Notamacropus eugenii: one gene and its partners. The protein of the gene in region 1 interacts with the protein of each later gene in a biochemical or structural test. Links are inferred from orthologs where the notes say so. Each region holds a gene or a part of one and is shown in the gene's direction. Other genes may lie near its edges.

The links.
Region 2: the proteins of UBE2I (region 1) and RBBP8 form a complex in vitro, tested with the Homo sapiens proteins (2 studies listed by BioGRID, with this or other methods). The link is inferred for Notamacropus eugenii from reciprocal best matches to the Homo sapiens genes UBE2I and RBBP8.
Region 3: of the proteins of UBE2I (region 1) and DAXX, one has a biochemical effect on the other in vitro, tested with the Homo sapiens proteins (5 studies listed by BioGRID and IntAct, with this or other methods). The link is inferred for Notamacropus eugenii from reciprocal best matches to the Homo sapiens genes UBE2I and DAXX.
Region 4: of the proteins of UBE2I (region 1) and TRPS1, one has a biochemical effect on the other in vitro, tested with the Homo sapiens proteins (2 studies listed by BioGRID). The link is inferred for Notamacropus eugenii from reciprocal best matches to the Homo sapiens genes UBE2I and TRPS1.

The regions. Positions count from the first base shown.
Region 1 is NC_092872.1:49,691,977-49,699,990, reverse strand, and holds the start of UBE2I (SUMO-conjugating enzyme UBC9), read left to right. Parts: upstream 1-5,006; 5' UTR 5,007-5,236; intron 5,237-5,499; exon of another isoform or gene 5,500-5,707; intron 5,708-8,014. UniProt on the Homo sapiens protein: Accepts the ubiquitin-like proteins SUMO1, SUMO2, SUMO3, SUMO4 and SUMO1P1/SUMO5 from the UBLE1A-UBLE1B E1 complex and catalyzes their covalent attachment to other proteins with the help of an E3 ligase such as RANBP2, CBX4 and ZNF451.
Region 2 is NC_092875.1:246,866,821-246,874,723, forward strand, and holds the start of RBBP8 (DNA endonuclease RBBP8), read left to right. Parts: upstream 1-4,902; 5' UTR 4,903-5,040; exon of another isoform or gene 5,041-5,047; intron 5,048-6,761; exon of another isoform or gene 6,762-6,900; intron 6,901-7,903. UniProt on the Homo sapiens protein: Endonuclease that cooperates with the MRE11-RAD50-NBN (MRN) complex in DNA-end resection, the first step of double-strand break (DSB) repair through the homologous recombination (HR) pathway.
Region 3 is NC_092873.1:89,342,492-89,350,416, reverse strand, and holds the start of DAXX (death domain-associated protein 6), read left to right. Parts: upstream 1-4,909; 5' UTR 4,910-5,000; intron 5,001-5,847; exon of another isoform or gene 5,848-5,877; 5' UTR 5,878-5,893; coding exon 5,894-6,100; intron 6,101-6,272; coding exon 6,273-7,095; intron 7,096-7,211; coding exon 7,212-7,426; intron 7,427-7,606; coding exon 7,607-7,823; intron 7,824-7,925. Other genes in the region: SMIM40 (small integral membrane protein 40), read left to right, coding at 2,617-2,859. UniProt on the Homo sapiens protein: Transcription corepressor known to repress transcriptional potential of several sumoylated transcription factors. Down-regulates basal and activated transcription.
Region 4 is NC_092875.1:130,540,488-130,547,482, forward strand, and holds the start of TRPS1 (zinc finger transcription factor Trps1), read left to right. Parts: upstream 1-3,991; 5' UTR 3,992-4,462; intron 4,463-4,818; exon of another isoform or gene 4,819-5,194; coding exon of another isoform or gene 5,195-5,204; intron 5,205-6,995. UniProt on the Homo sapiens protein: Transcriptional repressor. Binds specifically to GATA sequences and represses expression of GATA-regulated genes at selected sites and stages in vertebrate development. Regulates chondrocyte proliferation and differentiation.

The DNA.
Region 1 (8,014 bases):
ACAGCCCAGAACCCATAGTCCATGAGTCCTAGGAACAGTGGCCCTTGACCACTTTTCTTGCTTCCAGCTAAGCTGAACATCTCAACCACTGCTGAAATACAATAGCCTCTAAAGACTCAAAAAAGAAAGTTCTTGTCACCAAGTCCAAAGCCCTGGCCAATGGTTCAATTTCAGAAACAGTTATGATTTTATCAACAGAAAGGACATCAAAGGATATTACATTACCGCCCGCTTCACTTCTGCACTTCAAGGACACCTGTGCCTTTCTACTTGATTTCAATCTGAAACTTCTTTTAGAGAAAAGATTATACCCCCAGAACTTTTTAGAGTGTTTTGCTGAAGCAGGCATAGTCATTCATTCAAATAGTTGAAGGACAACTATGGGGAAGAGAGGTTGGACTTGTTCTACTTGCCTCTGGATGGTTGACCTAGAAGCCAAGAGCAGAAGTTATAGAGGCAGGTCTTGACTCAGCATAAGAATTAATTTCCCAAACAGTCTGAGCTATCTAAAAGTGGGTTGCCTTGAGGCGATGGAGGTGGGACTAATTAGTTTCTTGTTTCTGTAGGTGTTTGGAGGGTGAATGACTACTTCCTTGGGATGTTATAATTTGGATTCATGGGCCAGATACTGGTTGCATTACTGTAGATGGCCTATGTGGTCCCTTTCAACTTGAAATATTGTTCCAGGATTCTGGGAAATAGCTATAGTACACAAGAGACCATGTCCTATATTGACTTTGCATGTATTTTGTAATTCACTTATCTGTGTACATAGTATTCACTTTCCCACAAGAGAACTCAAGTTTCTCCAAGGCAGGACAGTTTTGTTTCCTGTTTTTGTTTCCCCAGCATCCTGTCTATCACAAAGTGAGTGCTGAATAAGTGCTTGTGGAATGAAGACAGACTTATTTTTAAGGTATGAACAGGGAAGGATCACTTGTGAAACCACGAGGAAGGTGGAAGCAACAAGGTGGTGCAGTGGATAGAGCACTAGGCCTGGAGTCAGGAAGATTGGAGTTTAAATGCAGCCTCAGAGAAGTGCTGGATGTATGCCACTGGCAAGTCATATAACCTCTATTTGCCTCAGTTTCCTCATCTGTAAAATGGAAATAATAATAGCACCTACCTCCCAGGGTTGTTGTGAGTCTCAAATGAGATACTAAAAGTGCTTACCACAGGAGCTATATAAAAGCCAGCCATTATTATAAGTCACTTATTCTTGCTAAGTAAGAGATGTATAAGGGCAGAGGAGTAGCCCAGATTCAAAGTGAACTCATCAAATATTTATTAAGCCATCCACACAACATGCTGGGAACACAAAGACATAGGTCAATCTGACATGGCCCATACTTAGGACTCACCCTCTCAAATCCCACTCAGACTAGTAGGCTGGGTCCCTACATCTCCTCTCAAGTTTTAGGAGGCAATGCTGAGGGGCCAGGAATCACTTTCTAGTCTTATTGTCATGCTTCTACCTGGGCTGTTCAGGGAGGACTAGCACTTCTGGTGGGAGGGCTTACCAAATCCATTTCAGGGCTGCTCAACCTACCTGTAGCTCCAACATGGTGCCACATGTGGAGTGGCCACACCCCAGTAAGACTCTCTTAGCAGATGGGCTAAATTAGGTTGAGAGTAACCAACAGGCCCCAAACCCATTGATGGGTTAGGAGGATTTCCACCCAAAGCATGTGAAGACTTACTCAAGTGGAATGGGCAGATGAGAACAATTTGTTCCAACAACCGTGAAGGTAGATGAAGCAGGCATTGTAGAGCCCTTAGAGCTTGGTAAGACAATGAATACACCAAGGTCCCCTACTGCATCCCAGGTCATTACCAGCTGTCCTGACTTTTGTCCTCCCACAGGACTTCAATGACTCTGGAAGAAGATGGTGAGGCTGGGGACTTTGTTGAATGTTGCCTCACTTAAATTCAGTTCATTCATAAGTCAAGATATCACTTGTGATGTCATTAATCCTCTTCCAAAATGAAGGACAAACAAAACATCACTGATTGTTGATTTCATTAGCTTGTAGAAATAGATGGTTTACTAAGATGGTATTAGAACAGTTACTATAAAACACCCCATGTCACCTCACACCAGAGGTATACTCCCACACAGTAAATCCAGAGTCCAGAGGAAAGTGGACTTAACCTTAGAGAATACATGTGGCAATGAGTTAACTCACAGCTCTTGAAGATCAGAAGACCTTTTCTCCCATTTGTAGAGTCCTCTGAAGGAGGAGCAGTTTTCTGCTGGGCTCCTCATAAAGTCAAGAAACTCTTTTCCTAAAGTCTAGTTTGTCCTCAATTCCCGAAGAAAATGCTAACAGCAACTGTGATACCAGGAACACTGGTAGAATACAAGAGAATTTTATATCCTCCAACCCTCTGAAGTTCAAAAAGAGATGGAAAGAGAAAGAGGCCTTTCTCTTCCTAGACAAGTAATTCCCTCCTAGGGACTTAGCTGGAACTCCTCGGACCCCCGAGCTGGCCTGTTACTCAAATCCCAGCTGAAATTCCAACTGACTTGTTATTTTATACAGACCCACTTGGCTCTTTAACCAATCCCAAATACTTTCTGTTCCTCATCATTTGATCTCAGTCAATGACTTCCACTCCTTCCAAACCGTTTAAGCATTTTGTGCACCTACTTTAACAGTTCTGGTTGATTGACTCAATAGAAGTGTTCTAAGAGAGGTAAGGTAATTCCTTAAAGTGGGATGGGGTGACTGATGCAAACATTTAACATCCCAATGCCTTGTGATGGTAGAGTTAGGATCTAGAAGGGACCAAGGCTCTGAGAACTCATAAAGTCTCCAAGAAAAAGCCAAAGTCCTAAGGATTTTCCCTAGCCTCATTACTGGGAATAGAAAGAGCCCTCTCTTTCTAAAAGAGCTGTATCTTAAGCCTTTAAGGTAAAAGGAGAGCCAGCTGTGCTAATTCTTTAAGAGGTGCATCTTAGCACCTCTAGGCACCAGCTGCAGCCAAAAGCTGAAATCAATCAGTAACTAGGCATATACTAAGAACTATTTAGAGCCTATATAAACCATAAACTCATTTCCAATGAACCCAGTTGTGGTAGAAGTTACAAAATAATCAGAAAAGTCAAGTGGTAGGAATGCCTAACAGCAGAGACTACACATCATGCCCAGAAAACCCACCAAAGCCTATACACTTGGCAGAGACCAAATGCCTCAGGATGTCAGTTGAAAGGAGGCCCAGCAAGAGCAGTGCTATAACAGTACCAGAGAACATCATTATTAGGTCAAAACTGTAAGTCTGTCCTGTGTGTCCACTGGCCTACATGTCTACCCTTCCCAATATCTATCTGTGGATGTGTCTGCATTAGATTTATGGGGGAAATGTTTTATTACTTTTCTTTCCATGCAATTTCATTAAATGCCTTTGCTTTGAATTAGTTGTATGACTGATAAGTAAACACATCATCGAGGGCATGTGAGTTTTGATCTCTGCATCTGAAGCGATACAGAGCACCTTGGAGGTGGGATACCATGTTTGGCAGGACCTTCTTAAGAGTTGAGAGGCATTGCCAGGTGATACACAGAGGCAGAAAATGAAACCATTCCTGACCTCAATTAGTGTACAATCTACTTGAGAGGAAGCTGTTGTTATCCAGTTGTGCAAGCCTCTCTGTGACTCCACTGGGAGTTTTCTTGGCAAAAAAATTGCAGTGGTTTGCCATTTCCTTCTCCCACTCATTTGACAGGTGAGGAAACTGCAGTACACAAGGTTAAGTGGTTTGTCTACGGCCACATGGCTACTCAGTGTCCAAGGCCAGATCTGAACTCAGCAAGAAGAGTCTTCCTAGCTCAAGGACCAGCAGTCTATGCACTATGCCACCTAGCTGCCTTAGGGAAGGAGGCTTTGTGTCCACAAATAAGATACAAAATAAAACAGCACAAGAGCAAAGGAATAACTCCAGTTGAACTAATCTACGAAAATTTGGGGTGGATCAGAAAAGGCTTCAAGGAAGAGGTGGCCCCTGGGCTGAAGGAATGGATTTTGCCAAATGAAGAAATAAAATATATCCCAGTTATAGAGGAACAGCCCACGCTCATCCACAGCTGAAATTGCATCATGGACAGTGGTGTGTTTTATTGTATAGGCAACAGGGAGCCACCCATGTGTAAAATTACCTCTAAGGTTCTTTCCATTCTAAAGGTATATCACTTCCAAATTGGGGCATCAGAGGAAGACTTCTTGGAGAATGCATGAGAGCTGGGTCTGGGAGGTGGCACGAGAAAGGTATTGCTAAGGTCTCTTCCGATCTCTTGGGACAGACTTAAGCAGCTTCTCCTAGATGCTGATGGACGTCACCTTTTCGGCCCCCTCCATGGAACGTCCCCAGCTCAGCCTTTCTAATCTAGCAAACACAGAGACCCATGGGTAAGGCCGGAGATGACCTTGGGAATGGGGGGGTCTGAATTCGAATGCCTCAATGACCTTGGCCCAGCGCCCGGCCTCTCTGGGCCCGGGGGCCCCGCCGTCCAGGAGAAGGGATGCCTTCCAAGCTCCCTGGCAGCTTCCAGGGCTACGAGTCTACATTCGGAGGACCCCGGGGCGGGTAGTGGGAGGAGGCCATGCCCGAGCCTCGCCGGAAGCTCGGCCTGGTTGGGCCCGGGCCAAGCCGGGGCTCTCGAAGTCTCCCCCCGCCCCCGCCTGCTCTGGACCCAAGCGAAGGAAAGTCTACACTACATACGGGAGGGAGGGCCTCGAGTTAGGCCGAAGGAGGGAGGCCTTTCGAGGATCGCCCACTAAATTCCTCCCCCGCCCTGGCTCCGGGTCCTTCGCTCTCGCCCCTCCCCCACACTGTAGCCTGCCCCTCCCCCATTCCTCTCTGGCCCCCGCTGTCACTTAGGGACCGTCTACAATTCTACTTCCGTCTATCCGGCAGGATCCGGAGTTTTGTACCGATCCCTCTCATTGGTTGAATATGAGGTAAGCCCCGCCCATTTCTCAGAAGTGACCAATCCGGAAGGGTTTCAGAGGTCTCTGTGCTTGTGGGGATCATCTGGACACTGAGATGCTCGGGTTGATCTGTAGGCCTCAGTGGATTTTTCCCCAAGATTCTTGGTTCTATCTGACTAGGGGACCTCGGGGATTGGAAGCCTTGGGGTCTCCCTCCGAGCATCCGAAGAGCCATTGGGATTTCCTGCGTCCCCTTTTCTGTATTCCTTCAACGCGTATCTTCAGATGAACGAACTCATTCCGAAAGGTAGTTTGCAGATGATCCCTAGTATTAGGGTCGCGGCTCCTTTAAGTGTACAGGTAGCTAAGTCCCTGCCTGTGGAAGAAATTACTCCTCGGGGGTCCCTACGCCCGAAGTTCGTACCCCGTCGTGCTCCCTGGGGAGGCGAACCCGCCTAGCCAGTGGGGCCGGAGGGACTTAGAAGGCACGGGCGAGAAGGGGTGGGGGAAGGGGAGCCGCAGCAGCGGCGGGGGTGGAGGCGGCGGCAGCGCGCGGGCGCAGGCGGGCGGCGGGGCAGCCCGCGGCTTCCTCCCCCTCCCCCCGCCCCGCCCCGCGCCGCGCCGCGCCGGGGTCCTGCCGTCTTGGGTCCGGCTGCGCGCGGAGCGGGCTCCGGAGGGAAAGTCCCGAGACAAAGGGAAACGCCGCCGTAGCCACCGACCATCCGGGCACCTTCCGCCTCTATCCGGGACACTTGCCGGGGGCCGCGGCCGTGCTGAGGTGAGGCTAGCCCCTCTGGGCCGGGCCGGGCAGAGCTGGGCCCGGCGGCAGCGGCAGTAGCAGCGCCGCTCTCCTCCTCCCTCCTGGCGAGGCCCGGCCCGGCCCCGCTCCCTCCTCTTCTCCCGAGGCTGCAGCCATCGGGCCGTACCCGGTCTGGGAAATGGAGCGAGGCTTCCGGGCCCGGAGACCGGCTGGGAGCTGGGACGCTTCCCTCCCTGGGGACTGGGCCGGGCCGCTCCGGCGAATCTGTCCTCCCCGAGGAGGCTAGGGTGGGGGTGGGGGGGCAGTCTGGCCTCGGCCGCCAGCTGCTGTCCTCCATCCCTCCCTCCTGGGACTCTCTGAGGCCCCCGACGGGCCACTCAAAGTAGGTAGACGTGGAGGAGGAGTCATCCAAGCCGAGAGGTCTCGGACAGAAGAGACCCAAGAGCTCGTCTTGTTCGAGGCTCCTCTTCTGTAGAGAGAAACTGAGGCTTAGGGAGGCGAAAGGGACTGGCCCAAGGTCACACGTCGAGATGGAGTCGCCTCCCTCCTTCGGCTGCCTGATTGTTCGCATTAAGTCCTGTTAGTAGAGAGATGGAGGGATTTGGGGGAGCTGAGAAAGGGGTACGTAAAAATAGCGCAGAGAGCTGTCCTGGGAATGTGGTGGCTTTCTTAAAAACAGTATTCCAAGGCTGCTCACATGTTCCACCCTGTCTCTCCAAACCCCCCTCCCCCATGGCATCTTTTCCCAACAATTTTGAATGATCAGACTTCTAGGTTGTGTGCACTGCTGAGGAACTTAAAGGCCCCTGGAATTGAGTTTTTCTCTAAGTACGGACCCAGTTATCCGGTGTTACGGTAGTAGCACAGCAACCAAAATAATACCCACGTGAAACTTCAGTGAGAGGCTGATGGGATGAGTGAATTATAGTCCAAAATTCCCTGTGATCTTACTGAAGTAACTTTAAAAATGATCTAGAGGTAGAGAAAAACTCAATTGGGTTATTTAGCTTCTCAGTGATAGTAGGGTCATTTTGACTGCTCCCACTTTTGCCCCACCTCCGAAAAAAAAAAGTAACAATCCATCAGGTCTTTGAAAGGGACACACAGCCAAAATGGGATTGGTTGGATTAAGAGAACGTGGGATACTCATTTTTTTTTATTTTTTTTCCCCGTATTCTTGTAATCTCTGGGCTTGATTTTATTGTTAACAGCTCTTGGGTTTGCTAGATAAGACTTGCCTGATAGAGAGCCGAAATTGACAGAAGTTAGTAAGAGGGAAAACTGGATTGCCCTTTCTTTTATCCTTTCATAGTAGAATCTATATACATCTTCTTACCCCCTACATACTCATGCTTTTTTGAAATCTTCTCTACCTTTATTCTTGAATTCTCTTCACTTTTTAAAGAAAAATATCCATTCCCTCTTGCATTTTTGGCAGTGTTTCAGAGATGCCTTGTCCCTTTAGGAAGAGTGAAAGGACAGTCCAATTTTCAGTTGTGAGAGGGGAAGACAAAGTTGGCAAGAACACAAAATGTACCATAAGTCCAACAAAAAAGACTTTTTTACAATTATTTCTTTGGTTGTTAGGCCCAGTTAGCAATCTTAAACATACAGAAAATTTGAACAGACAAAGAAATGACTGTCAGTCATTTTTTGGTTTTAGTGGCTTAAAATCAAAGCAACATTGCTAATACCAAAGGTTTTCCTGGAGTGTACTAATTCCAGATGATGGGACGCATTAAAATTTTTTTTAATGTTTTTGTTTTTCACTGTCACAGTTAATAGTGTTGTTATTATGGGGATGATTAGAATAAAGTTGCATTTAAAATAAAGTGAAATTAGAAATTCAGCTCCATAATTTAAACTTTTTTTTTAAACTTAAACTTTTTCTAGACTTAAAAGGAATGGTGGTTTAAAAACATCTTAAATGTCTCATTAATAGGGAAAATGCTGTTAGAATCTGATGTCAAGAGGGACTTTTCTAGGATTTAGATAAATTTTGGATTCATTACAAATTTATTGTGGTTCCATTACAAAAATAGATCACATCCCAGAGTCTTGAATGGTTAGGAGATAGATACTTTAGAGTGGTTTCAGTTTCTAGTTCTGAATTGTTAAACAGATGTGCCAGAACTTTGTTTCACTAAGTGATGGATCTCTTAGTTTCTGTTATGTACCTGAGGGTTATAGAAGGTGTAATGGGAATATGAAGCATTTTAAGTGTGATTCAGTCTATCATGTAAGGATCAAGCCATTATCAAAGGGATTGTAAGGAAGAAATAAAATTGCAGTATTTCAGTTTAACTCTGTGCTTAAGAGCATTTT
Region 2 (7,903 bases), on another chromosome or scaffold:
GGGGAATCTATCACTTCTCGAGGCAAGCCATTCCACTTTTGGACAGCTCAAATTATAGTGGGAGCTATGTGTCAGCAATTTGCATCCTTGAATATTCCACTCCTCTCCCTATACATACTATTGCAAACATTGTTTCTACAATTTCTGTTATAACATTAAAGCGCTTAAGGGTATAGTGGGGGGAAATGCCGGAACTTGGAGTCAGAATGACTGAATTTGAATCTTCACTTGTTATAAAACAGTTATGTAACAATAGACTTCTGTTTCCTCATCTGTAAAATAAGAAGTTAGTCTGGATGACCTCAATCAACTCCAGATTCATGATCCTAGAACTCATTTCCAGGTGCTTCCCCCTGCCTCAAGCAGTTATCCTCTTGTCTTTTTTTTTTTTTTTAACTTTTCTTCTGCAACAGTGCAAATAGCTCTAGTGCATAACTCGCTTTAGGATTAGTAGTTCTGTCTGGAGATAAAAAGCACTCATTAGTTTCTCTTATCTTTCCCTTAGGTCATAGTCTTCTTCATACCTGGTTTAAAATAATATGAAACAAAATTCTTGTAGTTTCCAGTAGTTCTTCCACGGAAGTCCTTCTCTGATGCTTCATCAAGTTCTGGATGAGATCCTGAGCTCTCAAAGGCTAGGCAAGCAGAATACAAGTTCTGGCAGGTCCTTCCAAGCTAGAAAAACTTTAAGTCTGGCAGGTGAGAGACTGTAATCTATTGTGGATCAACTAGTCAGGCCAAGTTTGAAGGGGACCTATTCACCAGGCTGGCCACAAGGTGATAAATTTCTTGCCTACAACAACACTTTAAGACCATTAGCTAAAGTTAAAGAGGGATCCAATCTAATGATAACAATGATGATGACGGTTTATATAGTACTTACTGTGTGCTAGAGCTAGACACTGTGCTAAGCTTTTTATAAATACCTTTTCTTTGATTCTCACAACTAACCCTAGGTGGTTGTTGTTAGTTGATTGAGTCATGTGTGACTCTTTGTGACTCCATTTGAGATTTTCTTGGCAAAGACACTGAGGTAGGTACTATTGTCCCCAATTTACATTTGAGGAAACTGAGACAAACAGAGGTTGTAAGTACTGAGAAAGTACTCAGGGTCACCAAGATAGTTAGTGTCTGAGGCCATATTTGAAAAGTCTTCCTGACTTCAGACCTAATGTTCTGTCTACCGTACCACTTCAACGTCTCAGTCTGGTATGGAGGGTGTGGGATGTGGAAGGTGGAGAATGGGGTGGGGTAAGACACACAGCAGTGAAATCATGAATTCTTTAAGAAATTAAATAAATGAAACTAACTAATTATAAGGATATAAGTTAACCATGTGCAACTTAAATTCAGAATAGTTCATATCTTCTGTACATATATATATATACACACACATGCACACATACACATATTTGTATGTATATGTATTGTTTGTTTGTTTTAAACACCAGGTATTAGATCTGACAGCTTAAGTCAGGATTTTTCGATGTACTAACTGGCACACAATAATGCTAAAGCAGTAACTCCCAAAACTTCTCTGCCTCCAAGGAAACAATTGCCTACACATGTACCTCCAAAATGATAAAGGGAGATAATATACTTCAGCTTCCTGGGGGAAAAAGAGGAGGGGAGAATTAGATCATTTTAATTCCAGAGAAGGAATTCATAAAGCTAATGAATTTCAGACATTGATCTCAATTCTGAGTTTTTATGAAGTCACCATAATTTACTTGTATCTTACCTAATCTACCTGTATCTTAATACTTTTGTTCTATTACCCAAAAAAGACCACTGATATATTTGAATACAGGCAGAATTATCTTTTCTCATTTCATTAATTAGCACTTCATTGTATTCATACAAGTACTTTACAGTCATTTAATTAGCTATAAAACATTCCTTTGAGAGAAGCCCAGAGGCAAGTTATTTAATTTATATATCCCCAAATGGCTGGAATTATAATTCAACTGGATTTTGGGGATCTATAACTGTGGTTTTCTTGAGAAATAACTATAAAATAATCCCAACACTTTCTCATTTTTATTTGATTTTTTCAACCTACTCAGGCTCACCAAGACATAAAATAACACAACATTCATGGGTCTGGTAGCTAATATTACTAGCACCTGCTTTACAAATTTCAGAAATCTGTGAGCACTGGATTTGGAGTCAGAAGACCACAGACCCTTAATTAGCTGTGTGCCTTAGTGGGTGCAAGTAACTTAACCTCTATTTGCTTCAATTTCTTCATCTGTAAAACTACTCCCCAGGATTGTTGTGAGGATCAAATGAGAAAATAACTGTAAAGTACTTAGCACAGTGCCTAGTACCTCGTAAGCACTATATAAATGTTAGTTAGCTCTGATTATGTGCATACTATTGAGCTTTGGAGGATGTAAATGTAATTGGAAGGAAGATTCTAAGGGAATTTACAATCTGATGATCTGGACTCTAATATATATGAATTTAAGTTTAAGGAGCTATCTTTTTGCTTGGACTATAGTCCAAGTAGTCTTTAGTGATGACTTCAGGCTTCTATTTTGCCTTTTCCCTTGTATATAGTTTCTGGAGAGGGCACAAAAAAGGGCTTTGAAATTGCATTTGCTTCCTCAACTCCACGTGGCCTGTAAGCTATCTTCTTTACTCTCGAAGAAAAGTTAAGAAACTGCTTCTTATAATGACTTCTAAAACAATTCCTTTTTTCTTGTTCTGAAACTAGTCATATTGAATCTAGTCCAAATTAGATGATGGCATTACAAGCCACCTTACTAAAAGATGCATAACACCTCTGCTAGAGTACGGGCTTCATGTAACTCAGTTTCCTATGTCACTGTGTAAACTAAGAGAGGAAAAAAATTATATATCCCTCCCCAAAGAAAAAAAGACCCTCTTAACTCTGCTATGTAACATACAACAAGCCCATTAATACAGGATTTCCTTTCTTGACGTAAAGCATTTAACTCCAGTCCTCAAAAATACTTAAGATTTTAATGCTTTCAACTTTGCTTAAGTGTAGCATATTTTATTTAAAATAACACTGTTATTTTACAATTTTCATAAAGAACAAAATAAGCATTATTTAGTCAGTATTCCTTGGCTTAATTTCGATTATTCTTAAAGATAGAAAGCACTTTCTTCATATGCAAGGTGGGTGGCAAACATGAAGAGCACTTTATGTCAGATAAATCTTGCCATAAGTACCATAAAGAAGTGAATATTTTGGGCCAGTGCATAGGATTATTGTACCATAGATAAAAATTTTTAGCTTTTCAAAACGTACCAGCTGCCTTAAGCTTCTCAATTTTTCCTCAAATTAATTATTTCATCGTTTTTAGCAAAACAGATTGGGTTTTGAGATAATGAAATTCTACTAGGTTCTGTTATATCAAACAACTTAAACCTTCTTCAGTCTATAGATGTAATAGTTATAGGAGATAAAAAACCAACTCAAAATTCTCAGCACAATTGTGTCCAGTATCACCTAATTTTGTGTTTGGTATTGGGCTCATTTTCTCCATTATATGTAAAGCCATATATTGAATTTAGCTAGATTATTTTCTAAAATAACTCAAATATCCTGAGAGCTAAAGCTTAAGGAAGACAGTAGTGAAAGAGTCAATGAATACAAAGCTCTTCAAAATTAGGCTCCAACCTGCTTTTTCCAGATTTATCCAGTTAGCTCTTTGACACACACCACCATGCAGAGCCAAACTGGCCATCCTACCCTTCCTCGAACATAGGATACTTAGTCTTTCCACAAATTGCCCCCCAAGCCTGGAATGCACCCCCTATTCACCTCTACCTCACAGAATCCTTAGTTTCTTCCTGTGCTCGCCCCAGATCATCACAGCATGGTGTTTCTCCTGATCACAACCACCTTACCCCCAATATATTAACTTAGAGTTTGTGTATATTTTGTGATAATCATTATATAAAAATATTTTACAGTTCTATACGTTCATACACGAATATAGTCATTGAGGGCATTTCCCTATTATTTTGAAATGTATCCTCCAGACCTGGCAGGGTGCCTGATTCCTAAAAAATGCCCATTTACGATTACTTCGCAATCGAAAGACCAGGGGTAGTCGTCTAACTCCAGTCACTTCCGTCACACTTTGGGGGCCTCCGCTTACTACCTTTACTTCCCAGTAAATCAGATAACGCGCACCAAGCCCTCCGCACATCCTCCATCAAAAGGCCCTTCTTGGGCACGACCTGTAAGACCCACAATTGCCCAGCGCGGGGCTCTCGACCTTTTTGTGCCATACACCTCGTATGCCAGTCTGGTAAAGCCTACGCATCCCCTGGGGTATTTTTTTTAAATACTTTGGTTTTTTAAAATTAGGTTAATTTATAAAAGTAGGAAATGCATTATAACGGTTAGTGAAGAGAAAGATTTCGGCTGTTCGGGTTGACATTTTTTCCCATCCAAGTTCTGATACCTCCTGAGACCTCTGCACAGATGCCCGGGGTTTCTGCCCCCTCCAAGGTATCCCCCAAAGGCCTCTGCCGGCCCGACTTTTCTTCGCCCAAACCGTTAGCGCTAAGACGAAGCCGGCCCCTCGCGCCCCGCCCGCCCTTTTAAGGAGGGGCGAAGGGGCGGGGCCTGGCGCGAGCCGGGGAACCGAGCCGAGGCGGGGGGAGGACGGGGAAGCCCAACCTCGTGACGTCTCGCCGCGTCCCCGATGAAGGGGCGGGGCCGGCTCGGGCCGGCTCTTGGCAGCTCGCACCAGCTATCTTTCCCTCCGCCCCTTCCCCTCCCCCCCAAAAGCGCGGGCTGGCCTCAGGGCCGAAGTTCCGCTGGCCGGGCTCGGACGCTGGGGGAGGGGGGGGAGTGGAGAGGGCGAACGCCTCACTGCAGTCCTGCTCCTTTACCGGGACCGCTTCTCCGTCTTGCCGACGCCCGGAGGTCTTTGTGCGGAGTCCGGCTGCCCCGCGTTTCCCCGGATCTTTCGGTCCCGTTGCCGGGAGTTCCCCCCACTTCCGGTAGGGTGGCGAGAAGCCATCCCCCGTCTCCCCCCACGAGCGCGCCCTGGGGTAAGTGGTGAGTCGGCTTTGGGAGCGTGCTGGGGAGGAGTGGGTGGAGGGCGGGCGAGTGCCAGGACTCGGGTCCCGGCTTATGGTTCAAAGTGATCCCAGAGAGGCTGCCCTGTGGTTCCACGCCTTCGTTTGCCGGATGAGGAAACTGAGGCCCGGAGAGGGGCCGGGCCCGGCCCCGCCCCCTGCCCGTGCCCGCTGCTTACGGGCTTGCCCTCCTGCCGGGCTCGCTGAGGTCGGGGGCGCGGGACCGGTCCGCTGTCCGGTCTTCCCCCCATGAGTGGAGCGACTTGCCAGGGAGACCCGAGGGCGAGAACCCGGCTGCGTGCCCGCGGCGCCCGGTGCCCGGTGCGGGGCGAGCCCTGAGAGCGCCGATGGAAGCTCGTCCGTCAGGGCAGGGTTGCCTTCTCTTTTCTTTTGGTCTTGTAAAGCACTGAGATTGTCTCGTCTCGTCTCAGTTTAAATTAAGTGAGATAACTCCCGCCTCTGTGTCTAGCTCCTTATCTTTGCCCTGAGCTCTAGTCCTATGCAGGCTCTTCATACAGTTTTAAACTAAGCTGAAAAGATGTTTGCGAAACCTTGTTGGACATCTTTAGTGCCTGAATTTCAGTATGTCCTCCTTGGAGCCCCAAACCCTGAATGCCCTTCGAACTGCTTCGTCTGAAGAATTGCCAAGACCTGTAGGTTCTGCCTTGGCAGTCTCTCCAGACCACACGTTACCACTGCCTTAGTTCAAGGCAGTCCCTCTCTCCCTTTACCTTTCTCGTGGACTGTTGCAGTAAGTTTCCTAACTAGTTGCCCTGCCTTCAGTCTCTCATCTCTTTAAAATGTTTTTTATATGTTTGTTAAAATGACCCTCCTGATGCGTTGATCCCATGTTGTCATTCCCCTTTTGCCTGTAGGATAAAATAAAAACTCATTTACCTAGTAGTGAAAGACCTCTAGAATCTGATTCCAAACTACCTTTGCTACCTTATTTCATTCTACTCCTATTTGCTTAGGTGTCTGTACTCCTTCCGGCCATATGCATAGACTGCCCCCCTTGTCTAGAATACAAGAATCTGTAGATTTCTTGTTCACAAACTCTTCTTTCAAGTTTCACTCAGCTCAGGTGTCACCTCTGTGAAGTGTTCTATTACGTACGTGCTCCAGCCCTCTAAAGTGATCTGTTTCTACATTTTGCTTGCCACTTTCTCTAGATCTTTCATATAAGATTTAGTATTAAAAGAGGTCTTGGAGATTTAGTCCAGTTCTTTTTAAAAAATGATTAACCCTAGGCCTAGAAAATACACATGGCTAACGAACCAGCAGAGCTGCAATTTAAACCCAGATGTGCTAACTCTAAATCTAGTACTTCATAAAACTTGTGTATGTGTGTGTATGCTTTGTATACATATAAAGGGTTTATCAAGCACTATATATGCTTGATATATATGATATATATGCTTGTATATACACACACATATACATGATTTATAAAGTCCTTTACCAAAACAGTCCTGCAAGGTAATCTAACTATTTACAGCAGAAAACAGTGCTGGATCAGTCAAATCTTGAATTCAAATATTGGTTCTTGTACTACTTCCTGTGTGATCCTGAATAGATCATTTGATTTCTTTGAGCCTTATTGTCCTGGGTAATTACATGAGGATGTTAGATTAGATGACCTCAAAGATCCTATCCATTCCCAAATCTGTGAAACTCTGATCCCCATTTTACAGATAAGTAAACTGACACGTGACTTGACTATGATTACACGGCTAGTAAAATGTTGGAGCTGGAATGGAACACAGCTCTCCTAACTGCAAGCCTTAACCACCCTTCATCACATGCAGCTGCCTCTAGAGTGAAGGGTAAAGGGTAAGTATCGAGCACAGACTGTGATTGTCTGTCTTATCTATCACATTAGATTGTAAATTCCTCAAGGACTGAGACTTTCATCTATTTATCCTTAGCATCACTGCTTTGCCACCTAGTGGGTCATTAACATATTGGCTAAATTGATAAGGTTCATAATTAATTTTACACTCAAGATAACAGATTAGCACAGTTCTAGGGAATACAAAAGTATAAGACACCACACTTGTCTCATGAGGAACTTAAAATTTAATTGAGGAGGTAGCATATTTTAAATATTTAAAAGAATTTGACAAGGTAAATGCTGTAGAAATTCAGGATAGGAATGGTTCACTGCAAGTTAGAATTTCCACATAGGATCATAGATTTTAGTGCTGAAAGGGAGCATGGGGGCATATTGATAAAGGATTTTAGAATTTATGAAAATAAAATAGGTTATAGTGCAGAGAATACATAATTATGTCTTCTGTAGGATGACTCCTATAAAGTAAATAGCTTTCTTTTATAAACTGTAGTAGGCCTAAAGGATAGGTGGGAGATCCTAAAAGTTTTATCACTCATGATTGTATCGAAATATAGTGCATTGTTTCACAGTTTATCTTTTCAGTTTTATTATCTGAAAAGCATGTTGTGTCTTTTAGAGATACTTAATCTCTATTGCCAAGTACAGAAATTTTGTTACAGAGAATTAGATCTAGCAGCCCATTTAGGTTTTTTTTTCCCCTTGTTTGGGACTATCGATTTCTTTTTTATTTTTGTTCTCCTTTGAACATTTCACAGAATCCACATTTTACTTGTGTCATACTGATCCCCAGGTCATATTCCCCTACTTTCTTGGCTTTTAGTACCAGGTTCACAATATTAATTTCCTTCCCAAATCCTGTTCTACTAGGGGACTTGAATAGCCACAAATGTTCCATTCTCCCAATTCTTCAGTCTCAAGTCCTATAACTCACTTCTTTACCTCAGTCACATATAGGGGGAATCACAAACTAGAATTCATTAC
Region 3 (7,925 bases), on another chromosome or scaffold:
AGCAGTCAGGGAGAAGCAGCTTACAGAAGGCAAAAGTGTGGTTATATACTTCTAACACGGAAACTCCCCCAAACCACCCCCCCCAACAGCTGACCCTTTTCCCCCCATTGACTGGGGGTCAGGCTTACAATCTAAACACGGAAAACTAATCCCCTTACACGGAACAAGGAAACAGAAGTTCAGCCAATACAGATTTCAAGCAAAATTCATAATCGTTTTTGGATTGCGTGGGCTGAGGTGGCACTTGGGTCTTGGGTTTCATAAATTTCGGGTTTCTATTAATCATGTCACTTTAGGGAAAAGGAAACTTAGACCTGCTTAATCTGGCCATGTTACTAAGAAGTATTCACCTATCCCACTCACCTATCTTCCTCCAGTGCCCTAGTAAAGGGAAGATCCTATGGCAGAGAGATTATTTGCATGTGTATGTTTGTCCTTTGCTGCCAAAGAAGACCATGCCATCAGAGAAATGATGACATGACTTGCACTTGACTTTGTTTTGACTGAGGGAAGGATGTGCAGATCACCAGCCTCACTTCTCCTCCAGAGCCATCTGAATCCTGTGAGCAGATATTCATCAGGATGACTGGAGATGACCCAGGATGAGGCAATTGAGGTTAAGTGACTTGGCCAAGGTCGCACAGCTAGTGAGTGTCAAGTGTCTGAGGTGAGATTTGAACTCACCTGCTCTATCCTGCTCTATCCACTGCACCACCTAACTGCCCCACTAGTGCATGTAACTCTTCAGTTAAAAAGGAAATTTCTAACATCTCTTTCCTCCTTTCCTAAAATGAAAAGATGTATTAATATTGACTTTTTGGATTAGATATTCATTTACTGATACCAAGATTTAATTACTCCCAAAACAATTCTTCAAAATTATTTCTTATTAACTGTCATATCATTAACAATTTTATAAACTGACAAACTCACTGTGAGACCTTGTGGAACAAGTCACGCCCCCTCGGTGAGCCTAAGTCTCCTCCTTCCTTACGCTAGATTATTGCTGAAGTCTCTTCCAGCTCTGACATTCCATAGGTTTGTTTCTATGAAAACCAGTACCCCAGAATTCTCAAATACGAGAAGAAGTTTAGGTCTGCAGGAACACCTACGCTTACACACAGGAAGAGGATTCAGTGCTTCCTTCGCTCATAGACCTATTTGGGCAGACTTGGGATTTAGAAGTTGTTGCATATTTTTGAGGTAATGGCAGGAAAGAGGAATGGTGCAGGGGCCCAGCTGCCAATTTCAGTCTCCCGAGTAAGGATTTTCCTGATCAAGTAGTACAGTCAATGTGGTGTCAGTACAGGTAGCCCTTGCACCATGGGCATTTGGGACTGTTTACATGTCAGAATGAAAAGCCTTTAGTTCCTGGAGGTATAACAGATGCAGCCAGACTTTGGAATCAGGAAATTTTTTTGTTTCTGGTCATACTCAGCATCTGTGTAACTGTGGGTAAGTCAATAATAATAAGGCTCTCTGAGCCTTATTTCATCATCTGTAAAGTGGGCCTATCTTAAGGGTTGTGGCATGTCTCAAATGTATGGGCAACACTCCCTCTGGCCATTTCCCCAATTCTCATTTATATTGGCCAGCTGAATTCCCGGAGTGACTATCTACCACTTTCAGTGTCTTAGGGGTAGCTGTGAGGAAGTGAGTTTCTAGCTCAGGAGCCCCCACTGATGTGCTTCCCATTGATAATCCTCTAATGTCCTCAAAATAATTTTTAATGAAGGTATTTACTATGATGGTATAGACTTGAAATACAGTGGCAAGAATGGTAGCTGGGGAAAAAAAATCCCCCCCCCCCCACCTCTGGGTATACTCCCCAACAAAAACACACAAGATTGATGGATAGAGCAGGTAGAAATGTAAAGCACAAAGGGTGTGAGGCACACATGGCAAAGGGGTAATTCAAGATTCCTGGTTAGTAGTAGTCTGGTTCTTCTTTCAAAGAATCTTCACGAAGTTCTCTTGAGGAGTAGCAGCATCTGTTGGGCTTGGAAGGTCAGTGACTTATAGAATTAATAGCTGGTCAGTTCTCTCTGCCATGAGAGTTTTATGGTCTTTGATGCCTCCCTGCCATATGTACTCTCTGCTACTGGCCTAGTAGCTGGATAAACTCTATTATTGATCCAATAACATCTTTACAATACCATGGTTAATAGGTAGCGCAATTCCCTCTTACAGGTTTGGATAAAACTTGAATCCACAGGATTGTAACTCTTCTACAACTAGGGTCCCAGGTATATTTCTATTTCTATAAACACAGGTTTTTCCAGTGTGATGTCATTTATCTGTCTTCATCCAATGATCAGTCCTACAATTCTTTCAAATTGATTAATATACCTATAGTTTACACTTGTGATTGAATGATTCAGTCTAATAGTCTACTCCTTCTAAGACTGCATACTAATATATGTAAATCACTTTGAAAACTTTAAAGGGCTATATGTTATAGTTATTATTTCTGTCTCTGGAGAATTAGGTCACAGAGGATAGATGCAACAAGAAAACTCCTTCCCCCCTAAATTACCACTAATCCAAGTAGTGCTGAGCCAGTGTCTCCATCCTGTACAGCGTGATCTGCTCAGCTGTTAAGGCTTTCAAGTCAGGATGGCAGAGGAGGAGGGCGATACGGATGAGGGAGATGTGTTCTTGGCATTTGCCCAGGGACCTACTCCTCCCAGGGGCCCCTTTCTTCGGGCACTAGATAGGGCCTTTTTCATTTTTCTTGCCCTCTTCCTGGCAGTGCTGATGCTAGAGGCTGCCTACAAGTTGCTGTGGCCAATACCCTGGGCAAACCTCTGGGGCTGGCTGCTTGGAACACCTCAAAGAGAAGAGGAACTGGAGCTGTAATCACTGAATGACTCCTCCCTCTCAACTCAGGTGAGAAACAGGACCAGAGATTGAGGTTTCCTGGGAGGAATCATGTGAGACGGTGGTAAAGGAGTAGAGAATAACAGGAAAGGAAGAGAGAAGAGGGAGCTCACAGTGAACGGCTCCCATTGCTTCTGTAAGATATCAGACAAGTTTCTGACAAGGTGGGGGGAGGGGAGGGCCATGGGAGGCTCCAAAGATGAAAAAGTTTGGAAGAGCCCTGGGTGGAGGGCTGACAGCTGGGAGCCCCTCATGGAAGGGGAGCTAATAATAATAACTAGTATTTACAGAGAACTTGGAGGTTTACAAAGTGCTTTGCAAATATTATCTCATTTGTTCCTGATTATACCCCTGGGAGGTGAGAGGTTCTATTACGGCCCCTATTTTAAGTAGGAAGAAATTAAGGCAGGCAGGTTTTAAACAGCTTGCCCACGAGTGTGCGGGGCAGGACTTGAACTCAGGCCCAGCATTCGGTCCTCTGCGACACCCAGCTTCCTCGGATGATCTAGTTCACCTGCTACTTTATAAAGGAGGAAACTGAGTCCCAAAGAGGGGAAGACATTCGAGCTGAAGCAGAACTAGAGCCCAGGGCTCCTCCGTAGCTAGGACACTTGAAGAAAGAGGGGGACATACCCAGGCTCCGTGGGAGGTAGGAGGGGGCGCCCCCGCTGCCCCAGTCTTGTTAACCCTGCTTTCTCCCCCGCCAGGGACCAGAACACGCGCCAGGACCAGTCCTGTGTCCCCCCGGCCTCCCCACTCCCCCCAATAAAGCTGGGGTTCTGTGAGAAGCGTCAGCCTCCGCTCCTTTCCTCTTCTCTCCCCCCCACTCGCCCAGGCAGAAAGAGGCCATTGGTTTTTTAAAAGCCTCGTTTCCAGTCTTGGACTCTGGACGCCCTTCACCTTCCCCATCATCACTAAGTGCTCAGGGTCCACCGGCCATTCCCACAGGGCGGTCCCCTCCAGCCCCGGGACCCCCAGATGAAGAGAGAGTCTGAAGCAAGAGCTCCCCGCCCCCACCCCGCAAGGCGAGACGGGCGCATCCCCACGCCCTGGAGGCCGCCATCTTGCGGTACGGCAGGTAAGCCGCAGCGCCGGGTGTGCGGGGCCAGCTCTCCCGTCCCTGGGTTGCCACGGTGACCTTTGAGGGCACTGACGCTGAGTCGGCGTTTTGCTCTTCGGCCCCCAAGGTTCGAGATCGCTACTGTTTACATGACTCTCCTGAGCGGTGGAGAGAATGATTACTTACGCGCACACATTCCGTACGGAGAGGAATAATCCCGATTCACAGAACCCGCAGCCCCCAGGCCGGTTCTTGGGGCTCCAAGAGGCGGTTTGGAAGGTCGGAGTGGCCTGGGCACGCACCAGAGGTGGAGGCAGGGTCAGACAGCAATATAAGCCTTGGAAGAAAACTTTCCCTTCGTAGCTCGCCTAAGTCCTTCTGGCAGGCCTGGGACAGACGGTTCCTCCCCGCAATGGACCGAACGGTCCACTACAGTGATCTCCCCGCCCCCCTCCATGCACCCTCCCACCCGCCAATACTAGTTTGGGAGCGCTATTGGGCAAACGATAGGGAGAGCAGAGGGACGCCGGTGTCTGATTGGTGGAGCAAGGGTTCCATCTCGTGACCACGGGTTGGCAAATCCCCGGAGGTATATCCATTCCCCACTGCCTGGCCTCGATTAGATTGGGTTCCCTCAGTCTTGAGGAATGCCGTACGGCAAGATGGCCCCCCCTTTCCCCTCAAGGACTTCCGAGTCCTCAGGCCTCAGAGAAGCCCTCCCCTCTGAGGCATTTGGTCGGAGTGGGCCAATGAAACCACCGGGAGACTTGCAGTCCGTCTCCCGCAGAGGGATCCAGCAGGTAGTTTGTGTGTCGTCACTTCCTATATCCCTCGGTTGACTCCATTAGGGTGGGATGGCGGCGCCCAGGGACGTACGGGGCGGGGCTGAGACATGATCGCTTCCGTTCCTGCGCGTTGTCTGACGCGGGAGGGGGGGCGGAGAGTGTGAGAGAGAGGGAGAGGGAGAGCTGAGGGTGACGGAGCGGGGGGCAAGGGGGAGGGGGGAGGGACGGACAGCGACGGTGGAGGCGGCGGCCGCGGCGTAGGGACTGTTTCTGAGGTGGGGGCCTCACGAGGCAGGCGGGAGGAGGGAAGAGTCTGAGGGGAGGACCCGGTGACAAGGCTGGGGTGGGGAGAGGGGGAAGGCGGCCGGAGACTCTCCCTTGAGGAGGAAGCGCGTGCGCGCACGGGGGCGCGCGCGCATGTATATATATATGTGTGTGTGTGTATGTGTATGGGAGTGAGTGCGAGAATGGGGGGGCGGGGGCCCAGAAGCGCCTACGGGGGGGCTTGGCTAGGGGCTTCTGCGGTCCGGCGAGGGGGCCGTGAGCGGGGACCATGAGGACAGGAGGAAGCGTCCGCCGGGCCCGTGCCCAAGGAAAGCCCCGGGACTGCTGCGCTGCTGACAGCCCCGAAGGGAGAGGCGAGGACAGACAGGCAGACAGAGAGGCTGGGTGAATGAAGATTTGAGGAGCGGAGCAGAGAGAATCGGTCTTTAACGGGTGTGAGATGGGCCGCACGGAGGGCAAGGATGGCAGCCCTGCTGGTGCCTGACACAGGGCTGATGTTTTAAGAAAGAATAAGATCCTGGTGGCTGGCAGCAGAGAAGATGGGACCGGAAGTGGAGGGGAGAGGATTGAGGGTTGGAGCCAAATGGGTGGGACTTTAGAGTTTTGGGGTGGGGAGGAGGTTGGGGGCCTTGGAGAAAGCTTGTGGAGTCAGCCTTGTCTCAGAGGACTAGACACTCTCACGACAGGGAGGTCAGACCGAGAAATCCTTGGGTAGGCAATGAGCAGGGGAGGGGGGAGCAGGCATCTATTGAGTAACGTGAGACTGATGCTATAAGGTGTGAGAATGGGGGGGATGTCCTGGAGGGGCTGTCTCTGAGGCCCCATCCCCCCCAGCAGGATTCCTGAAATCCCCAACACCCCCACCAGGGGCTTCGCTCCCCCCATGGCTGCCGCTAACAGCATTATCGTACTGGATGATGAGGAGGAGGATGAAGCAGCTGCCCAGCCAGGGCCTTCCTCTCCACCCCCAAATCAGGCCCAACCCCTGGCAGCAACCTCTGATTCTCCCCAGTCCAGTGGGGAAGGCAGCAGCAGTAGTGGGGGCAGCAAGAAATGCTACCAGCTGGAGAATGAGAAGCTGTTTGAAGAGGTGAGCTGCAGGGGAGAAGGTTCTTATGCACCAGGGAGGGGGAGCCAAAGAAGCTGTCCTTAATCACTTTGTCCTACTAACTCTATCTTTCTGTTTTTCTCAACCTTCTCCCTTGTTTCATTTCCTCCAATCCCTCGGACTTCCCCCTTCACCCTCCCCTGCTCCACCCCAGTTTCTTGATCTGTGTAAGAAGCAAACTGGAGAACACCCTGAGGTCGTCCCATACCTCTGTAACCGAAGGCAACGTGCTCGTCCTACGTTCCTGGCCTCAGCTGAGCTCCGAAATGTGCTGTCTCGTGTCCTCTCTCGTGCCCAAACCCGGCCTACCAAGCTCTATGTCTTCATTAATGAGCTTTGTACACTGCTCAAAGCGCACTCGATCAAAAGGAAGGTGCCCCTGACCCCTGCTTCCACTGAGCCCCCTGGGGATGCACCTCCTGCCAATCCTTCCTCCAACCCTGCCCCTACCAATGAAACTGCTCCTGGCTCCCCACGACCCCGAGGTTCACGGAGACAGATCCAGCGCTTAGAGCAGCTGCTGGCATTGTACGTGGGAGAGATAAAACGACTACAAGAAAAGGAGCTGGACCTATCGGAGCTAGATGACCCGGACTCTGCATATTTGCAGGAGGGGCGGCTGAAACGCAAGCTGCTAGGACTCTTTGGGCGTCTGTGTGAGTTAAAAGCATGTAGCTCCCTGACAGGCCGTGTGACTGAGCAACGGATACCCTATCGGGGCACTCGATACCCAGAGGTCAACCGCCGTGTGGAGCGTCTCATCAATAGGCCTGGTCCAGACACCTTTCCTGACTATGGGGATGTCCTTCGGGCTGTGGAGAAGGCAGCCACGAGACATGGCCTCTGCCTCCCAAGGCGACAGCTCCAGCTTCTCGCTCAGGATGCCTTTCGAGATGTTGGCACCAAGTTACAGGAGCGGCGCCATCTTGATCTTGTCTACAACTTTGGCTGTCACCTCACAGATGACTATAGGCCAGGTACAGGGAGTGGGGCCACACACACTAGACCTGTGGGGAGGGTGTTACTCCTTAGGCTTTGGAGCTAGGCGTTCTGGTTCCATGTCTTCACACTGCACACCTCCCTCCTACCTCAGGCATTGACCCTGCATTGTCAGACCCTGTCCTGGCTCGTAGGCTTCGGGAGAACAGAAACTTGGCACTCAGTCGGCTGGATGAAGTGATCTCTAAATATGCAATGATGCAAGATGAGAGTGAAGAGGGTGAGAGACAGAGAAGGAGAGCCCGGTTTTGCCAAGGAAACTCTCCTCACAATGAAGACCTTCCAACAGCATCCACAGACTCGGGAGAGGTATGGAGGCAGGACAGGGGATGCCAATGTCAGATCAGATATTTCTGAAGGACTGAATCCTGCCCAGGTCTTATACAGGGAATCTGTGGGGAAGAGAGTAACTGGTTGTGGGAGGTGAAATACTCAGGAGAATAAAGATTTAGGAGAATGGTTTCATTAAAGGCCTTCCCTCTCTTGCAGGGCCCTAGTGGAGAAAAGTCCACATCCTGCCCCACTGTCTCCAAAGTTGAGACAGATGAAGAGGAGGAGGAGGAGGAGGAGGATGAAGATGAAGATGATGATGATGATGATGAAGATGAAGAGGAGGAAGAGGATGAAGATGAAGATGAGGAGCTCACCGATTCAGAGGAAGAGATGGAAGAGAGCCAGGAGGGCCCAGGGGAGGAAGATGAGCCAGGTATTATGTGAGGATGCCATTCCCAAGTACCATTCCCAAGTTGTTTTCTCCCTCCATATTCAGTTTCCCATCTTGCACTCCCATTTTCTTCCTACTGTTAAC
Region 4 (6,995 bases), on another chromosome or scaffold:
TTATTTCTGTTGTAATTCTTGCTATGAAAGAGTGCACAGTGCTGAAGTAAATGCTTCTGAAAGACTCATTATGAAATACTGGAAAGCAAAGTAGACTATACTAAAATCGTATGATATAGTGCTAACCAGAAGGAGAATAATACATAAATGTTTTCTTGATGATGTGTGCTAAAGCAAAAGGCATTTAGGAGCAGGGTTGTCAATCTCTGAGGGTTCTGAAAAGAATTGCTATTTATGACGTGTTAGAGTAAACAGTTGGATTACATTTCTGAAATGCATGTTCCATCAGGTAAAATCATTGTGATTACAGGCACTAGTACTGTAAGTAAGTAAGTTATGTGCTAAAAGGTTGAAATTGTAAAACAAGTATACTTATGCTTAACTGCTAATCCCTCTTTGTATCTACACTGAATAAACTACAAGAAAAGGGGGAAAAAAGGACATTTAAATAATGAGGCAGGAAAGGCATGTTATGTCATCTTGATAAATAATGGGCTTTATCCACCATAAGGAATCATTCTAACAGTGGCCCATCCAATAAAGATTATCCCAGAGTTAAAGGAAATAGGAAGGATTATAAAGAAGTTATTTCTGCTTCCCTCTGTTTAAGTAGATCGGTGTTTCTTTTGTTTGCTTTTAGATTTTTCTTAATTTCTGCTTTATTTTCTAGTCTGTCACAAAAAGCACAAGTTGGCATTTTAACCACTGTACAGAAATAAATTTAAAATAAGAACAAAATAAAAGAATGACTTAAAGTGCTTTGCATTTATTTGACAACAGAAGATAAAAAATGCAAATAAACCTTTAATATTCCCTTAATCTAGAGTATGCTATGCAAATGTCAAGACAATATATCTATAAAAACAAATCAACAAATATTTGAAGAAAATCAATATACACAACTTATTTTATATATTGAAAACAACTGTCAAACAATTATGACCTCATGTATTAGTTGGTTGTTTTGAAATATTCCTACTAGGATAAAAAAAGGGCTAGGAGGGCCTTTGAGCTTGAACATATTGTGTCAATCATGAGCATATGCAATGTATCTAAAGCATGAGGTAAAAATTTTCTTCATAAATTATTTCATAAATAAATAAGTAATTTGCCTGAAAAGGTTTACGAAAATATTTTGTGCTTTTATTAAGTTCTCTACAGATCTTTTGTGGTCAATGTAAATGGATTGATATTGACATCATCTTGATCTGCTTTACTTTAACTTGAAATATAGAAAGAAAGCAACTAGAAGAGATTTTCCTTTTTTTTTTATTTCAGGGAAATGTCAGTAACATTGAGTTTGTGAAAGAATTTATTAAAGCTTCAATTTTCAGTGATCATGAACAGCACTGATGGGTGTTAGTACCTGAAGTGTCACTTCAGCCTTTCATTTAAGGGACATAATTGATCCTTAGACAATTGGTCTTGGCTTTTTGTATAATATATAATTTAGGGTGTACTTGTTGGTAGAGTTTTACATTATTACAGGTAGAAAAATGCAGGTCATTTCAAAGCTTTTGTCCTTTTGAAGGCATGTACTTTAATTTTGCCCATTTATTTAATCATTGAGTATTTGCTATAAATAAGATTTGTATTCTTACAAGTTAAGTTGGAAATAAGGAGAACTAGGAAGAAGCTCATTTAACTTTAAAATTTCTTCTACCAATACAGTTTATCTATGTAAGATTTTTTTTGGAAGGAGAAGAGAAGAGGGTATAGAAGACAGCCCTTGTTATACATTTACTACTTCAACCTTGCTTCTAAGATCCTCTAGCCTCAGATAATTTTATTCAAATAACAGCTTCAGTCATTTTCAGTATTTTAACCCTTTAGCATATAAACTTTTTTGTGAGAGTAGCCTGGTAATTATCAGAAACATAATTTAAAGTCTACTACCTCGTATTTATATGGTAGACACACTCCATAAATCAAACTTTTAAGTATGTCATGGCAAATGAACGTCTTACTCCAATCTTTCTTTTTGGATACAATTCTTTTTGAGGTGCCACACATATTTCCATGTAGGTCAACAATTTCATTTATAGCTTTTTAAAAAAAATTAAAGGTCTATTTTAAAAATATAAATGTCTTTTACTGTGGAAATTGGTGGTTGACGATATTAAATGACTCCAGTGTATAAGTATGCAGATGGCTATTAGTAGCTGACTGTAAGATTTACTGAAGATTTTGATATTAATTTTCCCTTCATGCTGGACTTTATATAATATATATTGTATAAATGTAACTCTGTTCCAAAATTAATTTCAATTGATGATAATATATGAGTAGTTCTATGTATATAAGTGGTTAGTGTTCTTATCCCACCTTCAGGGAATATATTGTGTGCCTCATTGTGAAATTGTATTTTGACTACCCCTTTTGCTTGACAAGTTTCTCTATTCCAATGAATTATTGCCCTTTTACCCATAAAGAGTGTAATAGACACCTTACAAAAATACTTAGGGGATAAACGTGTACTAAAAAGGAATCGCCTAACAAATCTGCCTGTCTAGGTATGCAATAAACATAAATGGAGATCATACAAGAGAAGAATGATGACTCTAAAAGACATATGCTTCAGTTTTCTAATTTACATTTGATTTGCTTTTTCATCTCAGAAGATAGTCTATATCACAAAATATGTTTACCATCTTCCTTGTAAAGAAAGACGAAAGAACCATTTTCCGGGGAAAATATTTTTTGAGGAAATTACTTCATTTTTACCTAACATTTTCATGATCTTGCCTTTTTAATTTCTATTTTAAATCATTTCATAATTTTAATAAGCTGTTTCTCCATTGAGCACAGAATTAGTTCAAAATGACTTGTACAGAGGAAAAACATGTCACTTAAAGTCATCCAAGTGAGAAAAAATTATGTCCAAATGCCCAATAAATGTTTATTTTTTTTTAACACCTACTATGGTTTGAATATTCATGGTAATTTTTTATACGCTGATGAGCTTTAGAGGTGAAAAACATCATATTCAGAAACAGTCAGGAATTGATTAGAAACAATGAGGGTTCTCAAATAAAAATGTGAAATATATTTTTAAAAGTCTACAAAAAAGTCTATTCATGGCTCCTTATCTGTTCACAGAAAAGCCAAACAATAACTATTCATCTCTATGAATATTGGAAAGACATTCCAGTTTTATTTGCTTGATGGAATCCCTGAACTTATCCCAGAGAGGTATCCTTAGATCAGAAAAGTCCAGTAACATCCCTCTGCACTTTTCCAACTTAGGAAAAAGTTCAAGTTGTTCTGTCCCAGCTCTCTTGTAATAAAATGCAAGTAAAACACTAACCACCAAGGAGGTGGCCTTAGATTCCTTTATCTCTCTCTCTCTCTCTCTCTCTCAAACACAAATACACACACGCATAAATCCTGTGGAGTCTTAATAAAGAGGTAGGAAAAGAAGAGAAAGTAAATAAAGGAAGATAAAAATTTTAAAAGACTTAACTTTCATAGAACTCCTCCCCTCCTTTTAAGTCATAGCACCAGTCTCGGGGTCCTTTCTTGACATTAGTTCAGGCACCCCCCTCCCCATCCTCCCCATCCCCCGCTTTCCTTGCCCTCCCTTTAAGGTAAGTGCTTGATGGCTTTGCCTATTCCCCATAAAACTTTCAGACTCACCCCCCCGCTCCCCTTCACTACCACAGAGATATAGATAGAGAGGGAGGGGGTACAGTGCGGAGGGAGGCTGGTCAGCTTTTTAGATGGGGTCGTGTAAAATATCACGGTAAGAAAGCCCGGGTGTGTGTATGGGAGTGTGGGGGAAGGGGGTGGCTTCCCTTTCGGATGTTCCACTACAGTGGAGCTCTTTCAAACTCGTAATAATTGTCTGCTCCCAAGCCGTCCTTTCCCCCTTGGCGGCCGCAGCGGATGCTGCCTTGGGCTCAGGAGGAGGAGTTGCAGGAGGCGGCAGCGGCGGCGGCGGCGGCGGTACTGTCTCTTTAAGGGAGCTCAGGCTGGGGTGGCGCTTTCCTCTGCGAAGGCTCCTTTGATATTAATAGTGTTGGTGTCTTGAAACTGACGTAATGCTCGAGGTCCTGACAAGCGATAACATTTCTGATAAAGAACTGATCTCACTGCAATCTAAAGCCTCCTCTTTTTTGGTGCTTGTTGTTGCTCCAGACCCTGGGTTTTCGCTTTTTTTTTTCTTCTTTAAAACAGAAAAGCAAAAAAAAAAACAAAACCCAAAAACCCACATCAGGCACATCCTAGATCTATTTCCTTTCTCTTTCTCTCTCTCTCTCTTTAAAAGAGGGGGGGGAGGGAAAAGAGAGGGGGGGAGGCAGGAAAAACCTTTTTTTTCTCCCCCCCTCCACACCACCACCCCCCCGCCCCCCCTGAATAATCCAAGATCAACTCTGCAAACAACAGAAGACGGTTCATGGCTCTAGCCACCGCTCCACCATCTTTCGGGCTGCTGAGGTTATTATTGCCGATTAATCAACAGGTAAGGAGGAGGGGAAAAAAGGCAAAGAGGGAGAGAGAGAGAGATCAGCAGGAGGAAAAAGAAAGGCATGGGGGTGATCAGCTTTTCTTTCTCGCTACGTAAGATAATATTGCGCACGCTGAGTGTGGCCATGCTAAAGTGTTCTCTGTGTGTGCGAAATGTGGGTGAGCTGAGAGAGGAGGATTGGGAATTAAAAGTGACTTTCTTTGCAAAACGGAGAGAGAGAGAGTAAAAAGCAAAGCAGAGAGGCTTCTCGGATTTCACATGCATTTTTTTATGCGTGTGTGTTTTCTTTCTTTTTCCCCCCTTTCTTTTCTTCTCACCCCCCCCCCCTCCCCGGTTTTGGTGGGTCAAAGGCATGTGAGCCCTGGAAATTGGCGACTTCAAACTGCAGTAGCCCCTGGAGTCAGGAGGGTCAAGTTCAGCTGCTGAGGAGGAGGAAAAACAAATCCCCATTTGCCAAAAAAGAAGTTTCAGGGCTGATGTCCCCCCCACCCCCTCCCTTTTCCCCCGTTCCCCTCTCCCCCTCGTCTCTTTCTTTCTGATTTTAATTCCCTACCATCGGGCAAAGTAGAAGAGCAGGAGGAGATTGCAACTGAGGAGCTGCTGCAGTCATAGCCCAGGCTGCTGCTGCTGGTGTTGTTACTGCCGCCGCCGCTGCTGCTGCTGCTGCTGCTGCTGCTGGAAGTTTTATGGGAATCATGACAAGCGGGGCAGAAACTAGAGACCATCATGAAGAGTAGTAAGTTGGGAGAAACTTTTTAGGGTTGGGAAGGAATGAAAGGAGAGAGGCGAAGCGAATGGGGTCCTTTTCCTGGTCCTCTGAATGGCAAGGAGGACCTGATTCTGGGTGGCTTTGAGAAAACTATCAGACCCAGGCATAAAACTTTTTTTCCCTCTCTCTTTAGAGGCAGAGTTTCAGTGTCCCCATATTCTGGTGTCTGTGTCGGGAGTGGTTTCTAGAGTCTTGGGCCAGTTTGCTTTTGCGATTTTCATTTTGTATGACAGGGCTTTAAGAAAGAGACGGTTCTTTAAATGAATGGGGGCTGTGAGAAAGAGGAAGACTTCCTATTTTAGTCCATGATGGGAAAGTGTGTTGGGGGTAGTGGTGACAGTGGGGCTAATTATTAAAAGCTACCACAGTAGTTTGAATTTAAGTGGCCCATGGAGGGCTATGCAAGCAGTCTCTCAGCCTTCTGAAGCTGGTGCTCCCTGGGCTTTGATGTTGGTCTTGGGAAAAGGATCTTTGAAGGGCCATGGCAGACACCACTGTGCCTCCAAATATCTCCACCATTCTAGGACCCCATGAGCAATTTGAGGATGGGACCTGGGGTGGTAGTTGTTTGAAGTTGTTTTGTGACTTGGAGAGCTTTTTTGTTAGTACCTGCCTGAGATGGTGGTGTTTGCCTGGGGAAGGCAGTAACTTTTATGGCTTCAGGACTTTAAAGCAATTTATGTTTTTCGGGATTGAGACCGGATCTTCGACTCAGTAAAATTAGGTTCTCCATTCTCCCCCTTCCTCGTTCCCACTCCCATACTTTCAGATTTCAGAGTATTGATCGTTAGAAAGTTATGGGCAAGAAAGCTTTAAAAGATGAAGGAAAATAAAATTCAAATAAGATTATTTCTTTTCTCTCCTATTCTACAATTTGATGCTGCTTTTGAAAAATTGGCAGTAAACTTTTAAATGAGGAAATGTGAAGTATAAAGTCAGGAAGAGTTAAGTTATGCAGAAGTTAAGTAGATTTGTTAAACTTTTCTAAATTTACCTGGAAGAGAGAGGGAGAGGTCAGAGAGTCAGAATAAGTACAAAGGGGCAATCCAGATAGGGCCTGCCTGGGACAAAAATCATCCAGTAATGATAACTAAAGCCCTGCACTTTACTTACTTTGACTAATAAAAAGAATAAGAAAGAAAGAACCTCTAACTAGTCCATCAGAAATCTCTAGCGATGAAGTGAAAAACCTATGGATTTTGATGGCATCAAATTACTTTCCTCTTGTTTTTAGGAAAAGTTGATCATTTGGAAAAGATTGCCAGAGTTAGAAATGCAAGGGGGCAAAGGAAAGTAATGGTGAAAGCCAGTGCTTGACGTGGACGAAATGAGAATGAAAGTTTCTGAACTGCATTCACTGTTTTTGAAGTTCTTACATGATGTGCATTCAACTAGAAAGCTGTCTCAGATATTCCACCACATTAATGTAAAAAAGCAAACAAACTCCAAAACGGCGAGAATTTTTTTTAATAGTATGCCAGGGCTGTGAATAAATACAGGGCTTGTATGAGAAAATGAAGTATTTCCTGTAAGTTGTCATGCTGACAACGCTGTCTGGAAATAATACTAGCACTTTAAAGATTTTATTTTATTTTTTTTTTATTTTACGTGAGTTTATTAATGACTTGATTTATCCAGCAAGTCAAAGCTATTCTCCTTTGAGTTTATCTCCTCCTCCTCTGCCTTCTCCTCCTCCTCCTCTTCCTCTTCCTCTTCTTCTTCTTCTTCTTTCTCTTCTTCTTCTTCTTCTTCTTCTTC